3 linked regions of the Caenorhabditis elegans genome follow. The protein of the gene in region 3 purifies or fractionates together with the protein of the main gene of each other region. This does not show direct contact. Each region holds a gene or a part of one and is shown on either strand. Other genes may lie near its edges. The genes, in order: cya-1, Y71G12B.13 and chts-1.

Region 1 (4,893 bases), on a different chromosome or scaffold from region 3:
TTCTTCACCAAGAATGGTGTGAAAATCTGTGTTCAGTTGGCGCAGTGGGTAGTGCGCTCCGTTTGGTAGAAACACTATTTGGTTCGATTCTATGTAGGGTGTTTCTTTTTTTTTTTTGTTAAAGTTTCACTTTTCTTTTTTTTTTTCCGGATAAAACTTATTTTTTGACAACTTTTAGCCCCTCAAAAAGCTCTGATAAAAGGCTTAGACGTCAGGTCCCAAAATTGAAAAAAAAAGTTCCAAAATTTTTATTAATTTTTTTGTTTCTTTCTTTGTGAAGTTTTTTTTTGTAAATTCGATGAAAATCGAACGTTCCTTATGAAGGCACCCTTAAAGAATACAAGCTGGAGTAAAACCAGTGAGAAAAGCGGGGGTGTGCAAGTGCGCTCCGCTGGCCGGAGTGATTCCAGGTGTGCGATTCCGTTAGCGTCCAGAGGCTTAGAATCTAAAGCAATTGTGCCACATTCTCCAAATTTATAGTAATTTTTATCATCGTCTTGCTCGACCCGCTCCACACTGATAACAATCTCTTCATTTTATTTTTTCCTTCTTCTTCCCGCCGGCGCGTAAATGTTTACAAATGGTGCAAACTCTCTGGGAAACTATCGATGGCGCCTAGAATACCACTAATTAGTCAAGTGGCGCGCAACCTTGGCAAAATCGTCAATGCCAATTTCTACAGGGTAAGCGTGACGAAGCAAGGCGATTTCGATGTCTAATCTCAGGTTAATATCTCAACCGTTATTTTCTCCAACTTTCCACCCTTTTTGATGTTGTGAACGTCGAGATTCCTGACTCTATGACATTCTTTTGAAGTTCCGTATTTTTGGAATATTTTTAAAAAATTAAGCTCGCGAATTCACAAAACTTTCTCAAGGTTATAGAACATTAAAACCCTAGTGAGAGACATATTACTGCTAGATGAGTTTCAATGTTTACCTTGTTTGCAGGTCCCACGCGGATTCTAAAGTCTAATGTGTGCCGATGTGTCATAAAAAACAATAAGAGCAGAGCACCAACAAGCCATGTTTGGCTCCATACGTTTCTTCCATTTTTCTATCGATCAGTTCAGTAGGACCGCTTAAGAGCCTATATACATCTCGTCATATTACCAAAGGCCGGGTTGCGTAATGGATTGCGTTGAACGTTTCCCCCCCCATCGAGGGAGGTCACCATTGCTTTCCACACACCAACACCACACTTTACCTACTAGTTCATATAACTTTTGATATTGATCCAACAAACATTGAAGCAAATTTTGCATTATTTCTCTCTGTCATTCACATTGCTCGGAGCCAGTAATAAGAGAGAGCAACAGGTGGTCTTTCTCCAAAATGAAGATCGCCGAACAGATATTACATATTGCCTGCTCGATCTAATCCTTATATGTATGCCGTTACACGTTATTCAAGACAATTTACCAATCTAAATGTTGTCCCATCTGGAACAAAGAGCATGCCATCTGAAGCATTAGATGGGAAACTGCTAGCAACAGTGACCCCTCCTCTCTCTATCTCTCTTCACCGTCTGTCCTGCCTTGAATGGTCCCTTGCATAACCGTACGCATTGAGCACCTTTCCGCAACATATCGATTAGTCTCTCTTTCTCTAATTGGTTTTCTTTCTCCAGTCATACCATTTTTCATTATTTGAAACTTAATTTCAGTTAAGGAATTAAAAAAAAAATCATTAGATTTATTCTATTTTGTTATTTACCTTTTCCCTTGCCTCATTCTTCGCTGTCACGTGTTTATTCCTTCGCCTGTTTCCTTGATTTTGAAATTAAATCTCTTTTTTACAGATTCCGACACAGCGCACGCGCCTAGGGACCAATTATCAAGCGCTTTTGAGAGCAGCAGATCGCGACGAGTATGCGGTCGGCACTTAGTTTGAAGGTAAGTATTTTCTGAAATTGTAAAAAATATATTTACAATGCGACTGTCAAATTAGTTACATTTATTTATTCGCGATCTTTTTTCAAATTTTCCGCATTTTTCGAGCTCAACTTTACCGAGCTGGTGGAAACAATTTTTTCCGATTTCTGATAAAAATTGGTAAGTGGTGAGTGCGTGAGACGCTGGTTTTTTAACAGTCAAAATGAATTCGATTCCTTTAAAATTATGTTTTTTATATATAATTAATAATTAAACCTATATTTCAGCCGAGCAACGGAAACGCGGCGAAAAGTCAAGCAGTGAACAACAAGAACGTGATCAAAAATGCACCATTGGGAGGAAAATTGACACGTCAAATTGGAACCAGTAATTTGCTTCAACAAGCTCTACCAAGCAAGAAAATAGATGAATCACCAATTATCAAAATAGATGCAAAAGACAGTTTTAAAGTATTTGAGGATCAGGAGCCAGAGAAAGAGAATTCTTCTGAAAATGTTGATGCAACGGAGAAAGATTCTAACGTAATACCTGCTGAGGATAACAATATGATACACGAATTGGAACGAAAGATGGAAGAAAAGGTTAGATTTGAACTCAAAATTGTAATTGTTTATATACAATTTTTTGCAGAGTCGTGCAGAAAAACTGAAGTTCAAGTTCATGCAGACTCGAGACAATAGTGATATCACCTCAAGATTCTCAGAACCACCTTCAGAATTCTCTGTTTTATGTGATGACGACGATTGTGATGTGAGACCAAGAAAATAATATCAGAAAATTGAACTTTTCTTTCAGAAAGTCTCCGTCGCCTCTTCAACCTTCACCACAAGCGTCCGTGCAACCTTCTCATCATTCCATTTTGATGAAAATCAGCGCAAAAAGGAATTTGGAAAAGAAGAAGCTGTGAAGAAGATTCAAAAGAAAGCAGCGAAGGAAGCTCGTGATGATTCAATGTTCAGTTCTGAAGAATTTTTCCCTGACATTATCAAGTACATGTTACACCGTCAAACGAAGAATCGAGCTTCACACGAATGCTTTGACATACAATCACAAGTTAATGAAGAGATGCGAACAATTCTCATCGATTGGTTCAGCGATGTCGTGAAAGAGTACAATTTCCAAAAGGAAACATTTCATCTCGCTGTGAGCCTCGTTGATCGGGCTCTTTCAATGTTCAACATTGATAAAATGCGATTTCAATTGGTTGGAACGACGTCGATGATGATCGCAGTGTATGTTTTTAAATAAAATATTTCAATTGAATGTGAATCTCAAATTTCAGGAAATACGAGGAAATCTTTCCGCCAGAGATTGAAGACTTTGCTCTCATCACTGACAACACCTACCGAGTTCCCGACATTCTTTTAATGGAGCGATTCTTGCTCGGAAAGTTTGACTTCGTTGTTGCAATGCCCACATCATCTTGGTTCGGAACATGTTTTGCCAAGAGAATGAACTTTACAAAGTGAGTTTTAATATCATCATTTTTAGCTCCTGTGAAAAAAATTAGCGATCTTTCTCAATTTTAAACGTTATTTTATTACAGAAAGATGCGGAATACTGTTCATTATCTCCTCGAGTTGTCGCTGATAGATGTCCATTTTCTACGTTACCGCCCATCCGATATTGCAGCTGCGGCTTGCTGCTTTGCAAATCTCCAGGCTGACGTTGAATCCTGGCCACAAAAAATGGTTGACGACACGGGAATCAGTACGGAAGATTTTGTGGACGTGCTGAGGGATCTTCACAGGATGTACCTGAATGCATCAACGGCAGATTTCAAGTCAATATTCTACAATTACTCGGAGACTGCACAAATGGAAGTGGCCCTGTTACCGGCACCTACTGACAAGCTTCGATCGATGTTCCCATCGATCTTTGTCACCGCTCCAAAATCTTCCAACGATAGTAGTAGTCCCCAGTAAATAATCCATGTTATATTCTTGAATTCTCCAAATTTCCCGACTTTCAATTTCATTCCCTGTCTTTGTTTGCCTTTATCGATTACATCTTCTAAAATTCTCCTTTTAAAACTACGATTTTATGTAACAATTCTTTGTATTTGTATAACTCATCCCGACAGGAATCGGAACATACACGGATATGATCCGATATTAAAAATTCCTTTTTTGTGTTATATGTAATAGTATTATCAGTGCTCTCCATCCACCCCCTTATCTGGCTGTTTTACAGCTTTTTCTCCAGTTTTCTTATTTATTTATGATACTCCTGGCTTGGCAACTATGATCTATGATTCCTTTTTGTTCCGAGCCGTAATTTACGCACTGCGCTCATTGTTTTATATTTGTTCCACGATCTCATCTCGTAGTTGCTCTCCCCATCGTTCTTTCGTTTCTCTTTTTCAAAATGTAAATCTAAAAATTTTTATAATCATGATATCAACTGAAATTTTATATTATTTATTGTGCTTTCCAAATGTTAGAAGATACCTTCTTTGTCAAATAAATCTTTTAAATAAAAAAAAACAAATAGTTTAACCGTGATAGTTCCCGTAGTTGGCGTATTCTGGAATTGGAAAATCATTCAATGAATCTGAAAATTGAAACTTACGAGAAACAAAAGCGTCTGCCATTTCTGGATCAAGCTCCTCGATATATGTAGAACAAGACATGTACCAGATTCTGAAAAAAACACTTAATCGAATTAATTAAATTTTTGATAAGTATACGGTAGCTTGTCTCGACTCGACAATTTAAAAAGTAAATTGCAAAAAATAGCGTGCGCCTTTAATAAATACAGTAATTCCCAAGTTATTGCTGCATCCCAATTTTTAGGATTTCATTTACACTAAAATTTTAAATGCAAAGTGTTAAATGAAAAATAGAGACTACTGTATTTTTTAAAGGCACAGCACATTACCCAAACGCGAAATTTTGTGATACACGACAACTTTTGTTAAATGCAAAAAGGAGCGCGTCTTTAAAGGGTACTGTAATCGCAAAACTGTGTATTTGCGAATTTTCCATCGAATTTTCAGA
Region 2 (7,914 bases), on a different chromosome or scaffold from region 3:
TTTTTTCCGGCAAATTGGCACTTTGCCGGAATGGAAAATTTCCGGCAATTTGGCAAACCGGCACATTGCCGGAATTGAAAAATTCCGGCAAACCGGAACATTGCCGGAATTGAAAAATTCCCGCAAACAGAAAAATTGCCGATTTGCCGGAATGGAAAATTTCCGGCAAATCGGTAATTTGCCGGAATTGAAAATTTCCGGCAAATCGGTTTTTTTTTTAAATTTTTCAGGGAATTTATTTTTTTCAGGGGAAAATTTTGCTAAAAATCCGCTATTTTGCCAATTTCCATCTAAAAATTCCAATTTTCAAGTAAAAAAGCGGGGGAAAAAACGAGAAGAATTAAAAATCAAAATTATCATTAACAAATTCCGAGTTCTCCTGAACATTAAAACCCGTAAAAACATCATCATCATCATTCTCAGGCTCCGCTTCATCACCCGAATGCTCTTGGGGCTCAAAATCGAGGTGTTGCTCCATAATCGGAGCTTCTTCCAATCCGAGAAGCATCGCCTCCAGTGGATCAGCCGGATCCAGTGGTGCCGCCTGATGATTCTGAGCATCAATTCTCTCGTAGAGATCGTCAAATTCAAAGCCCCAATGAGCATCTGGCTCCTGGTGCTCCTGGTACTCCGGCTCTTCGTCATAATTTCCCACATGGAATTGCACAGGCTCCGGCTCCTGCTGGAATTGAGAAGCTGGAGCTGGAGCCGGAGATGGTGTACTCGTCAAGGATCTTGCCGTTTCCTCGTCACGTCGAAGCTTCTTGTTCAGAATTCTCGCAGAAACCGATTGATGAATCGTCTGCTTACGGGTTTCCGCTTTCAGTTTCTCCGAGATTTTACGATCCTCTTCGATTTTTCGACGCTTCGCCAGGCTTGCCAGGCTGAAGTTGCGCTGAAAAATGAGGAAATTAGCGTCTTTTTTTTATTTATTTTATTAATCAAAAAAATATTATTTACGCGCAGCAAAATTTGGACCGAAATGAAAATAAAAAAGAAAAATTCAAGTTGTTCTGTGTAAAAAATCGGAAAAAATCAAATTTTTGTGGAAAAAAAAATTGGAAAATTCGACTTTTTTTGACTAAAAGATCGGAAAAATTCAAATATTTTGTAGGAAAATTGGCAATTTTGTAAAAAAAATCGAAAACTGCGTAATTTTAGGAAAAATCGGCATTTTTTGTATTTTTCAGCGAATTTCGAGAAAAATGTCTGAAAACAGAAACCCATAAATTTCGGAAATTAAATTTAAAATTTGATTTTTTTGAAATTGCTTTAAAGCATGCTTATGATACCACAATAACCGAATATATCATAATAAAAAAATTCAAAAAAAATTTTTTTTTCTAAATTTTATATGATTTTTGAAAATTGAAAAAATCTCAGTTTTCCCCCTAATTCCTATTTGAATTTCCGCCAATTGAACTCGTTCGTTGGAGCGCGCTTGCATTGTTTTCATTAATTTTTTAAAATTTATTTTCATTATTTCACTGATTTTCTTCATTTTTTGGGTGTTTTTAATCGGAAAATGAAAGAAACATACAGGAAAAATGCAAAATGTTTATTAAAAAGTAACTGAAAATGCCTAAAACTGTGAATAATACTTATTTCAGGCTCGTCATCGTCGGATCGTATAATTTCAGAGTTTTAGGCATTTTCAGTTACTTTTTAATAAACATTTTGCATTTTTCCCGTATGTTTCTTTCATTTTCCGATTAAAAACGCCCAAAAAATGAAGAAAATCAGTGAAATAATGAAAATAAATTTTTAAAAAATTAATGAAAATAATGCAAGCACACTCCATCGAACAAATTCAATTAGCGGAAATTCGAATCGGAATTAGGGGGAAAACTGTGATTTTTTCAATTTTCAAATATCATAAAAAATTTAGAAAATTTTTTTGCATTTGTTTTACCATGCTATTCGGTCATTATGACCCCATAGGCGCGTTTTAAAGCAATTTTTTCGAGAAAAAAAATTATTTTTTCATGTAGATTCTGCGAATTTTTGAATTTTGGCTAATTTGTGTAAAGTTTTGCAAAATCGTCGCAGGAAAATCAAATTTTTGGGTTTTTATCGAATTTTTTTGTTTTTTTATGCCAAATTTTTTAAAATTTTGCAAAATCTTCGCAGGATAATCAAATTTCTAGGTTTTTCTTCGTTTTTTCGGCCAAATTTTTCAAAAATTTCCATGATTTTCGTCATTTTTCCTCTTCTTCAATCCGTACCATAACATTGCCAACTTTCTCTCCGACAGCTTTCTTAATTTGTTGCAAATCAATTCCAACACTTTTCAGCAACTCATCCGCATTTCCACTTCTCGCCACCATTTTCTCTTCTACAGTGAAATTAATCATTCGACGTCGGGCAGTTTTCCAATCTTCACGAGTTATTGATTGTAGACAATTTTCAATGTCTTCTATCCGATAGGGAAGTCTAAAATTATCGATTTTTTGCCATTTGTTGAGCATTTCCAACCGTAAAGCCGCTCTTGAACGCTTATAGGTCATCGGAGTACGCTGGAAGTAGTGAGCATCGAAAAACTCCTGCATACGACGGAATAATTCGGATTCCTGAAAAAAAAAATCGATTTTTGGGAGATGTTAATGAAAATTTTTGCGTTTTTTTCGCAGTATTGAGCAAAAATTCGAAGGATTTCACCCAGAAAACCCAGAAAATCGCGATTTTTTTTTCTTCCAATTTTTTGATTATCGAAATTTCCGTTTAAAAATTCGAGAAAATTCGAATTATCGATTAAAAATCCAGGAAAAGTGTAATTTTCACTAAAAATTCGGGAAAATTCAAATTTCCAGTAAAAAAATCGGGAAAATTCAAATTTTCGCTCAAAAATACGGGAAACTTTGAAGAAATTCAAATTTTCATTCCAAAATTCGGCAAAACTGAAATTTTCACTAAAAAATTCGGGAAATTTCAAATTTTTGCTAAAAAAACTCGGAAAAACTCAAATTTTCACTAAAAAATTCGGGAAAATTCAAATTTTCTTTAAAAAGTTCGGGAAAAGTCAAATTTTTGCTAAAAAATCGGGAAAACGCAGATTTCCGTTGAAAACTTCGAGAAAATTCGAATTTTCAACTAAAAATCCAGGAAAATTCAAATTTTCACTAAAAAATTCGGGAAAATTCAGTCTTTTGGTAAACATTTCGAGAAAATTCAAATTTCCGTTGAAAACTTCGAGAAAATTCAAATTTCCGCTTAAAAATTCGAAAAAAACTCAACTTTTCGCTTAAAAACTCGGGTAAATTCAAATTTTCGTTAAAAAGTTCGGGAAAATTCAGATTTCCGTTGAAAACTTCGAGAAAATTCAAATTATCGATGAAAAATCCAGGAAAATTCAAGTTTTCACTAAAAAATTCGGGAAAATTCAAATTATCGATTAAAAATTTCGGAAAATTTAAATTTTCGCTTAAAAATCGGAAAAATTCAATTTTTCGCTTAAAAATTCGGGAAAATTCAGATTTCCTTTTAAAAATTCGAGAAAAATCAAATTTAGATTTAAAAATTCGGGAAAATTCAAATTTTCGTTAAAAAGTTCGGGAAAATTCAAATTTCCGTTTAAAACTTTGGGAAAGTTTAAATTTCAACTAAAAAGTCGGGAAAATTCAAATTTTCGCTAAAAAATTCGGAAATAATCAAATTTCCGTTTAAAAATCCAGGAAAATTCAAATTTCCGCTTAAAAATTCGGGAAAACTCAAATTTTTTTCAGCTCAAAAGTTCCAAATTTTCACCTCCATATTTATAATAGTATTCGACGCTTTCGAGTCGGCCGCAACTTTTTCTATCAACGAAGCCCACGATTTTCCAGAATCATTAAGCCGTCGCTTAATAGTCCTACACGGCCTGACGGCCTCTTCTTCTTCAATTTCCACATCATCAATACTCTGATTTTCAAGCTCAGCTTCTGCCGAGCAAGACGTTGAAGGGGTATTTGTATTATTAACAGTTTCGGAATGAAGACTTTCAGCTTTTAGCCTATTCTGACCACTGGATTTCTCAGAAATCGTAGTCGTCGTCGTCGTCGTCCCGTCCAACGAGTTTCTGGCGGCTCGATTTTCAGAATTTTCAGAATTTCCAGCCACTGATGAGCAACGGGAGACCGGTCGAGAGTTGGCGAACGTCAGGGGATACAGATATTGATATTTCTCGGGAAGCTTCTCAATGCGTGGCAGGGGAATGCATTTTTGACGCTTTTGGAAGGCAGTTTGGACGACATGATAGACGTGTGGAGGCATATCCATTGGGAATTGACATTTCTGCAAATAAAAAATAAATAAAAAATGATTAAAATCGGCAGTTTTAGTTTTTAAAAAAGTCGTAATTATGCACGCTCTCCTCAAAGCCGAATAATTATTAGAGCGCGCTTGCTGCGCTTCGCATTTCTGAATCCGCGGTATTTTGACTTTCCACTGAAAAAGCAGATATTTCAGATTTATCGAATTTTCTAGCTTTAAAAAAAATTTTTCTCCAGTTTTCGAACAAACCTTTTGTTAAACAGTGAAAATCGAATTTAAAATGACTAAAATGAACTTTTTTCGTCCACTGGCTGTGAAATGGTTTGAATTTGAAAAAATTAACGGGATTTTTCTTATTTTCTAAATATTTTTCTATTAAAATCGGTTTTAAAACATTTGTGACTTTTAGGGTCAAAAAAATGGGTTAAAACCGATTTTTAATAGAAAAATATTTAGAAAATAAGAAAAATCCCATTGATTTCTTCAAATTCAAACCATTTCACAACCAGTGGACGAAAAATTTCATTTTAGTCATTTTTCGATTTTCACTGTTTAACAAAAGGTTTGTTCGAAAGATGCATTTAAAAAATTTTAAAAGCTAAAAATTCGATAAATCTGAAATATCTGCTTTTTTCAGTGGAAAGTCAAATTACCGCGGATGCAGAAATGCGAAGCGCAGCAAGCGCGCTCTAATAATTCTCCGGCTTTGAGGAGAGCGTGATTATGAAATATTACTGAAAATTAATGTTTTTTAAAATCAATTTCCGGTGAACTTCCGATGATTTCGACGATTTTTCCGCCTCAAAATTACTCGATTTTCACAAAATTAACTAAAAATTGTCCGTTTTGTTGAATTTCAAGTTCAAAATTTGAAAATTCTGAGGAGACATTGCTTTAAAACATACCTATGGTACCACAATGACCAAATATCATAGTAAAATTTTTTTTAATGTTCTAAATTAAAAAAAAAATTTACTATGATATTTGGTCATTGTGGTACCATAGGCATGTTTTAAAGCAATTTCCCCACAGAATTTTCAAGTTTTGAACTTGAAATTCAATAAAACCGGAATTTTTTAGTTAATTTTGTGAAAATCCAGTGATTGAGGGGAGAAATCGTCGAAAACATCGGAAATTCACCGAAAATTGATATAAAAAACAATAATTTTCAGTTAAATTGCTATGAAAAGCTGATTTTCTCCGTTCATACGAGCCAAAACAACCTGAAATTCGATTTTTAGCTCGATTTTTGCCTGGTTTCCCAATATAAATTCAGTTTTTCATGAATTTCTACCTGAACAGCCTCACATATCCACCAAATATTATCGGATCCATTGGGTTCGGTGCTGATGAGCTCTGGCTTGAGCTGTTTCGTCTTACATCGCGGACACTTGAGCCATTCGCTTTTCATCTGAAATTAAATGAGTTTTTTGATGGAAAATTCGAAATTTTAAGGCTAGAAACGAGCACAAAATGAGCACACAAACGCTCAAACTTTGAAACTAACTGTTTTTTTTTCAATTTTCGGAAAATCGATGGGGGGACAGAAGACTGATGGATTTCGTGCGACGTCTCTCTCTCTCTTGCTCTTCTTTATCTTCTTTTGGTCTTTTCACTATGAAATTAGGTATAGTTTTTGAATGGTATCATTTGAAATGTGCGATCACATATCGGGCGGCAGAAAACCGCCTAATTCTCCTTTTCCAGTGCGGGTGGAAAGATCATCGCAAGGCGGTTTAGCCTTAGTGTGATCGCATATCATTACAAATTATCACTTACCACTCGGAGAGCAAAAGTTAATCAGTTTTTAAATCAAAAAAAAAATCAACTTACTAAGGCGGGAAGTGGTCCGGGTGGCATTATCCTTTTGAAAATTGTCTGAAAATTGCGATTGTTGCAGTGAAAGTGGCACAAAAATACGTAGAATTCGAAATTTGAGTTGAAAAATCGAAAAAATCACCGGAAAAGCTCGAAAAATCGATGAAAACGCGATAAATTGACTTAAAAATGTCTTCTTTTTTTCGAAAATGCTTCCCCGTAAATCGAATCGTGGTGAGACCCACCGCACGTGACGCATGACCGCGACGCGTCTAACGGTGAGGAAACCCAAGAAATTTCTCGATTTTTGCTGAAAAAGCCTGTTTTCGAGCGAAATAACTCAGATTTTCGGCGAAAAAAAAAACACAAATTTATTCGAGATCCAAACGTATCAAACAAGAAATTTGCTCAAAATAGCTCAAAAAAGGGAAAAATATTTGGAAAATAAATCGAAATCAAAAAAAAGTTATTTCGTCGATGTGGAGATGTAGAGCACATTGTTCCCGCGGATGAACGCATCGCCGTACTTGTTCTGAAGTTGTCCGTTGCTGTATTCTTCGGTTTGTTCGAGCGCGATGTTCATATATCTGAAAAATTAGATTTTTTCGTAATTTTTCTGGAAGAAAAATTAATTTTCAGGTGTTTTTAATCAGATTTTTTGATTTTTCCCAATCACTAACCCGTCGAGACATGCGAGAATGCCACGGTAGTCGACGCCAGAGTTGAGCTTCACCACAACCGGCTTTCCGATGACTTTCTTCAGGAATTCGGCGGGATTCTGTCGTTTGCTCATTTTCTAGAGTGCTGAAATTGAGAAAAAATATTACTTTCACGGGTTTTTAGAGTAAAAATATGTTAAAATCAAGAGAAAAATGCGTTAAAATTGCGATTTTGCTTCAAAAAAAATTATTTTCTACAGTGTCCGCAAACACCGTGACGCAAAAATGCAGACTTGCGAAAAAAATGTTTTTTTCGGATTAAATCGACTTATTTTTTGAGAATTCAACTCTAAATCTGCAATTTTCCGAGACAATTTAGAAAAAAGAAGGCTTCATTTATAGAAAACAAAAATAGTTGAAAGTGCACTGTGATCAGCCTGTGTGTGTGTGTAATTGGACAAAAAAAACTGTTTCCAGACGAAAAAATATTGAGTATAACACAAATATGAATTGATAGCTGCTTGGGAAGGGCAAAAGTGTACATATAAATGCATTGAGAAAAGGACTAGTTGAGTCGGATTTTGAAGATTTTTTGTTTGAAAGAAGCGCCAAGATTTCGTGGTATATTTGATATGAATTTGAATTTTTCTAGGTTGGAAAATTGAGAAAATTGAGAAAAAAAATGGGGAAAAAATTATAGAAAATTAAAAAAAATTGACTAATTTTCTCCTTGTCCCGAATCCTCGTCATCATCATTATAGTCCGAGCCGCATTCGTCCTCGTCCTCCTCCTCTTCATCGTCGTCATAGTCACACCCGAAATCGTCGTCTGAAAAAAATCGATATTTAATTGAAAATTTGGCAAAAATCCGGGTTTTTAACTGAAAAATCCAATTTTCTCGGGAATTTTACAACTAAATTTGCGAAAAATAGACTTTTTTTTGAGGTTTTTGAGGTCACGGGGTTCTGACCTTCCTCATTGAATTTTTCGCGCTCCATTGACAATCGCCCGCCGGAAAACGTGTGGGAAAGTCGTGTACTCCACACGGACAAATACATTTAGTTTTACAACTAAAATCGAGCCGCGGCGCGACACGCAACGCGCCGTAAATCTACCCCAGATATGGTGGCCTGGACTAGTTCGGCAAAAACTCTTCCATTTCAATTTATAAGGGAAGCCAGAAATCCGT
Region 3 (5,095 bases):
ATGGAGAAAGAGCTAACGTTGTTATTATTTCAGGTGATCAAACAGTACCGTCTCGCCTACTGACAACGCTTAGCCGACACAACGCCAAACCTGGAGAGCGGAAAGAAAACAGGAGATTTGAAGGGGCCGTGCGGCAAAATGGGAGAGCACTATTCGGATGGTCGACAGTCCGACAGTTGTACCAAAAACATCATGGTGATGCGACTTTTGTTATTTTATTTCATAATAGGTCAGTTTAATTTTATTTTTGAAAATTGATTTCAGTTAAGACTGACAACAATAGAAAGTTGAAGCTTGCGTTATTTTCAGTGTTTAATCAAAATTTCAATGTTTAATCAAGTCAATATTTTCAGCCATTTTGACAAATGACGTGCATTCAATAAAAAAGACTAATGGCCTGATTGGTCAACCTTGTTTGATGAATGAAAAACGAAGATGTATTTCGGAAAATACCGAATGTATTGATGAAATTTGCATGTGTGCAAGTTTTTACAAAGCCGTTGATGGAGTCTGTGTAACTGAGAAAAGTAAGTGGTTTAGTTCAAACCGGAATCGACCAAAAAAATATGGAAAAAGCCAGGTCATTGCGTATTCGAAAATACTCGAGTTGAAAATGAGAGCTATCCAATCTCATTCATATTCTCCTTTTTTACATTCGTCTTCTTCTTTTTTCCTTTATTTCCCTTTTTTTCAGGTAAGACACTCACCCAGCAGTGTCGTATCGACAGCGATTGCCGCGGACCCGGAGAGTTTTGCTCTTCGTTCTCAATTTGTATGTGCCGCAGCTCTCATGTTGATGTCGGCACCCAATGCAAACCGGGTGAGTTAGTGAGAGCAAGTGGACAGCTCATCTTTCTTCTTTTCCTTTTCCTTTCACGGTCTGATTCAAGTAGCCAAATAAGTTAACTGTTTGGGAATAATAATCTGTTGACAAATACGTTCTAATGCAAGTGGCACAGGATGAAGAAATGTAAATTGTTGACTTTATCAATGTTCGGGTTAACTTCTAGTCACAAAACATATGAAACAAGTGTAGTTCGTCAAAATCAACAACGGTGATAATTTTTTATGAGCATATAAAAAGCAAAATAAAAATTACAAGTTATACAATTTATTGAAATCAATCTACGACTGAGAAAAGTATTCTAAATTTATAAGAATGTTTCACTGAAAGTTTTATTTGACAAAATTCAAAATTGAATACACGTGGCAAAATACTCAACAATTTATGGATTTTTGATATTTAAATAGTTTATATTTCAGTAAATACACTATTTTACAGTTTCCACTATCAGTTTATTTACAAAAAATATCATTCATAATTTTTTAATTTGCAGTGGATATCATATCGGGAATAATTCTCAATTTATCGGGAATAATTCTCAACTTCTACATTAAAAAAGTAAAGAGCAAAAGTAAAATATTTTTTGATCCTGTTTTTTTAATTAAAATATTTGATGTAGACTTCCGTATTATGGTTCTAAGCTCTGAATATTTAAATTTATTAAATGCTTATATTTTCTAAATTTCTAATGGATCTGTTTGGACAAACCGTACACGCTAACTAACATCGTCTTTTGACTCGAATTGAAAAAAAAAACTAAATTTAAAAAAAAACACTTGTAATACGACATAGCTTGTTTTTTAGTAATCTACCCTGGTCAGCATGGATGTGAAGACTCCATACAATGCAATAAGGGATTTCCTGGTGCTAACTGCGATGTTAATAGAAACTGTGTGTGCCCTGTTGGTTTTTTGGCAATTCAGCAGACCTGTGTTTCAAATCAGCAAGCAGCACATCACCCGCCAATTCGAAATGGTAAGAAGCGATAAAAAAATCATAACGTAGAAACAGCCGCTGATGAGTCATGCATGCCGGCAGGGACCATGTCTATCAATCATTATAAAAATGAAAGATAACTGCTCTCTTGTCATATGATTCTCAAGTTCTGTCTTTTGCAACCAACACTTTTCGTTTTCATTTTGAGCTTTTCAATTCACTTAAAAATTTGAACCGGCTTAACCATGCGGTTATTGTTCTTAGTGTTTATATTAGCAGGTAAAAAAACTGTTGAAAACAGTCTCAAAGTTTCATTTTAAATTTTCAGAAATAATGTTACAAAATGAGATAATGGCAGATCATCGAACAATCAACCAATCGTTCCGAGGCAACTTTTTCAGAAGGAGAAATTATGATGGGCCAAGAGCATACCAAATTGCTCCAGATCTCACTTGCTCCTATGATAATCAATGCGCAGGGTATCCCTTGGCAATTTGCCACTCAGTTTGTCAGTGCGTAAAGGGAGCATTGAATACAGGAACCACTTGTATCGCATCTTCAACAGGTAAAATATTTATTTTTTTTGTTCTACTACATATAAAAAAATTTAGCCATTCAAACGTCTGTTGCGTGTCCTGCTGGTCAAACTTACATCCGCGAGGCTGGAGTCTGCATGACAGGTATAATTAGTTGAAGATTTGTTTCTTTTTCTAGTTTTGAATATTATAGTTCAACAACCGGGCGAGCCTTGTCAATACTCACAACAATGCTCCGCACTGGAACCAGGAGCGTATTGCTTGAAAATGAGGTTTGATGAGTTTACTAATGTTTTTTTACATATTAATTTTCAGATGTGAATGTGTGTATGGAATGAAGAAAAGCAGTAACGGATGCACATTTGTCAATAATGACTGTAAGGAAAGAGGTCATATTTTTATTAGCGAAATTGGGGAATGTAGAGAAGGTAATATTCAGAAATAATTGGATAAGAATCAAGTTACACTCCTTTTCCAGTTTTCCCTCCTGGGGGCAAGGGATGTTCCCATAACCTTCAATGCTCTGGCGCATATCCTGACGCTACCTGCTTTATGCAAACCTGCACTTGTCCACCTAACTTACCAGTCGCCGCTGATGGAACATGTGGAAGATCCTGTCCAAACAATCAAGTTTACTCCGGTGTCACAGGAGAATGTCTCCCAGGTTTGAAGCCAATAGTGATGAAAATAAAGCTGTTTACTTTTTCAGAGAAGCAACCCGGGCAGGACTGTATTTACTCTTCACAGTGTCAAGCGTCGTTCGGTGGTCTTGTGTGTGACAAAAATACATGTCGGTGTCCGAATGGACTTGTCTTTGATGGACTGAAATGCTCACATGGTTGTCCTCCCCACAAAAGAGTCATTGACAAAGAAATTTGCGTTGAAGGTATGCATGAAATTTGTCAAACATTAAGAATTTCAAATCAAAATTGATTTTAAGGATGTCCATCTGGCATTGTTGAAGTTGCTGGGCGTTGCGTGAAACAAGTTTCAATTGGACAACCTTGTGTTGCTAATGCTCAATGTAATTTTGGAAGCTTCTGTCAAAGTGGAACCTGCCAATGTCCTCCTGGATTTTATGTTCAAGATGAACAGTGCCAAGCAAGTAAGTTTTATACATGATTTCTTATAATTAGTGAAATATATTTGTTTTCAAGTTGAAAGTGAACCTAATGAAAGTTGCCAAAATAACGAGAAATGTACAAAGGGGTCTGTTTGCTATAATGGAAAGTGTTCGTGTCCAAGAAATCACGAGTTGATCAATGGTCATTGCCAGCAGAATCGAGCAGGTAAGTAATGTCTAATGCCTCATCACTCTTTTTACCTTCACTAATCCAGCTGCGCATGCTTATAACACTGCCCTTGAAAACATTCGTAAAATCCGACTTCGATTCGCAAGTCAATCAAAATCACGTAACTCTTCACCTCAACTAACCGATGTAGAGAATGATAATGATACTGGTTTGTTGCTAATATTATCTTTTATCAATTTAAAATATACTTTTCAGTTCCAATCGGTAGTGCTTGCGTCAGAATCGGAGTAACATGTGATGGTGGATCAGTCTGTGTTGCTGGAATATGTGTATGTCCATTAGGTAAAACTCCGAGAAATGGAGTATGCATTGAACATGTAGCAGGTAACATTCTACTTTTCTACTTTTACTTCAATCAACGCATATTCAGCTCGTCCTGGAACTTCCTGTCAAAACGAAGAAGAATGTGTCGATCACAGTTACTGCTCCCCAGAAACCAACAAATGCGAATGTATGAAAGCATCTCAAATGGTCATTGGAGGGGAGTGCCGCGAACGTTTGAAGGCTCATCCAGGATATGGATGTACGATGGGAGAAATGTGTGTCGGAAACTCAGTCTGTGTTAATGGAAAGTGTGCTTGTGTTGATGGAAAAGTTGAAATTAATAAGATCTGCATCGATCAAGTGTCAGCGAAGCCAGGAGATACATGCGGCAAGGGAATTATTTGTGAAGGAGGTAGTTATTGCAACACTGATTCTGGTAAATGTGCTTGTCGCAGAGGAGAGAATTCTATCAATGGTGTAAGTTATGCGTTTTCTGGAGTTGAAAAAGTTAATGTCATGTTTAGATCTGCAAGGGTTTTACTTTTGTCTATCCAGGAGATCTCTGTACGGATATCACATCTAGATGCACGGGAGGTTCTTATTGTGCAAGAGGGCGATGTGAATGCCCACCCAGAATGAGCGCAATTGACAAGAAATGCGTGCATCAGCAAACAGGTAATTTTATAAAATCCTGTTGCTTCATAAAATCTTTAAAATCATTTGTATTCAGCTGCCCCAGGTGAACCATGCTCAGAAAAGGTTGCCTGTTCACCATTCTCAGTATGTGAAAATAACGTGTGCAAATGTGTAAATAACATGATGATCCGGGACAAAATGTGCGTGCAAAGAAGAAAAGTTAATATTGGAAACTCGTGCAACAACGAAGACCAATGCCTTGGAAACTCTACATGCATGGATAACAATTGCCAATGTGGAATTGGCTTTGTTGCCAGCATGGATGTTTGTGTTCTGAGGAAAACTGGTAAGCCGAACTTTTGTTGGTTTTTCAGTCATACTTTAAGATCTCATTGAAAATACTTGATAGGGTGTGAACATATAGCAAAAAATAAAAACTCGATATTTTGTCAGTTGAAAATTTTTGAATAAAACCAAAGACCATCTAGATGCTAAGTTTATCAATAAGAGACAAGAGAAAAAACAAAAATAGTTGTTGTTCTAGTAACTCCGGGATATCTATGCAA

Evidence for each region.
Region 1: the proteins of chts-1 (region 3) and cya-1 fractionate together in Caenorhabditis elegans (co-fractionation; one large-scale study listed by BioGRID). This does not show direct contact.
Region 2: the proteins of chts-1 (region 3) and Y71G12B.13 fractionate together in Caenorhabditis elegans (co-fractionation; one large-scale study listed by BioGRID). This does not show direct contact.

Annotation. Positions count from the first base shown.
Region 1 is NC_003281.10:9,106,180-9,111,072, reverse strand, and holds cya-1 (G2/mitotic-specific cyclin-A1), read left to right. Parts: upstream 1-1,800; 5' UTR 1,801-1,870; coding exon 1,871-1,894; intron 1,895-2,160; coding exon 2,161-2,475; intron 2,476-2,524; coding exon 2,525-2,644; intron 2,645-2,689; coding exon 2,690-3,126; intron 3,127-3,176; coding exon 3,177-3,359; intron 3,360-3,440; coding exon 3,441-3,819; 3' UTR 3,820-4,374; downstream 4,375-4,893. Other genes in the region: dos-1 (Delta and osm-11 homolog protein 1), read right to left, coding at 4,389-4,420, 4,466-4,536. UniProt on the Caenorhabditis elegans protein: Involved in the control of the cell cycle after S phase. May bind to and activate cdk-1 and/or cdk-2 to promote cell cycle progression. Necessary for embryogenesis.
Region 2 is NC_003279.8:1,700,317-1,708,230, reverse strand, and holds the start of Y71G12B.13 (RING-type domain-containing protein), read right to left. Parts: upstream 6,127-7,914; 5' UTR 6,109-6,126; coding exon 6,082-6,108; intron 5,660-6,081; coding exon 5,543-5,659; intron 4,270-5,542; coding exon 3,745-4,269; intron 2,571-3,744; coding exon 2,476-2,570; intron 2,434-2,475; coding exon 2,226-2,433; intron 896-2,225; coding exon 341-895; 3' UTR 1-340. Other genes in the region: lsm-6 (U6 snRNA-associated Sm-like protein LSm6), read right to left, coding at 6,533-6,653, 6,747-6,859; ubc-3 (UBC core domain-containing protein), read right to left, coding at 7,444-7,553.
Region 3 is NC_003284.9:7,514,713-7,519,807, reverse strand, and holds the start of chts-1 (EGF-like domain-containing protein), read left to right. Parts: upstream 1-2,025; coding exon 2,026-2,059; intron 2,060-2,108; coding exon 2,109-2,345; intron 2,346-2,391; coding exon 2,392-2,460; intron 2,461-2,509; coding exon 2,510-2,588; intron 2,589-2,631; coding exon 2,632-2,744; intron 2,745-2,794; coding exon 2,795-2,980; intron 2,981-3,025; coding exon 3,026-3,202; intron 3,203-3,256; coding exon 3,257-3,421; intron 3,422-3,473; coding exon 3,474-3,605; intron 3,606-3,654; coding exon 3,655-3,777; intron 3,778-3,824; coding exon 3,825-3,953; intron 3,954-3,999; coding exon 4,000-4,370; intron 4,371-4,417; coding exon 4,418-4,568; intron 4,569-4,623; coding exon 4,624-4,875; intron 4,876-5,073; coding exon 5,074-5,095.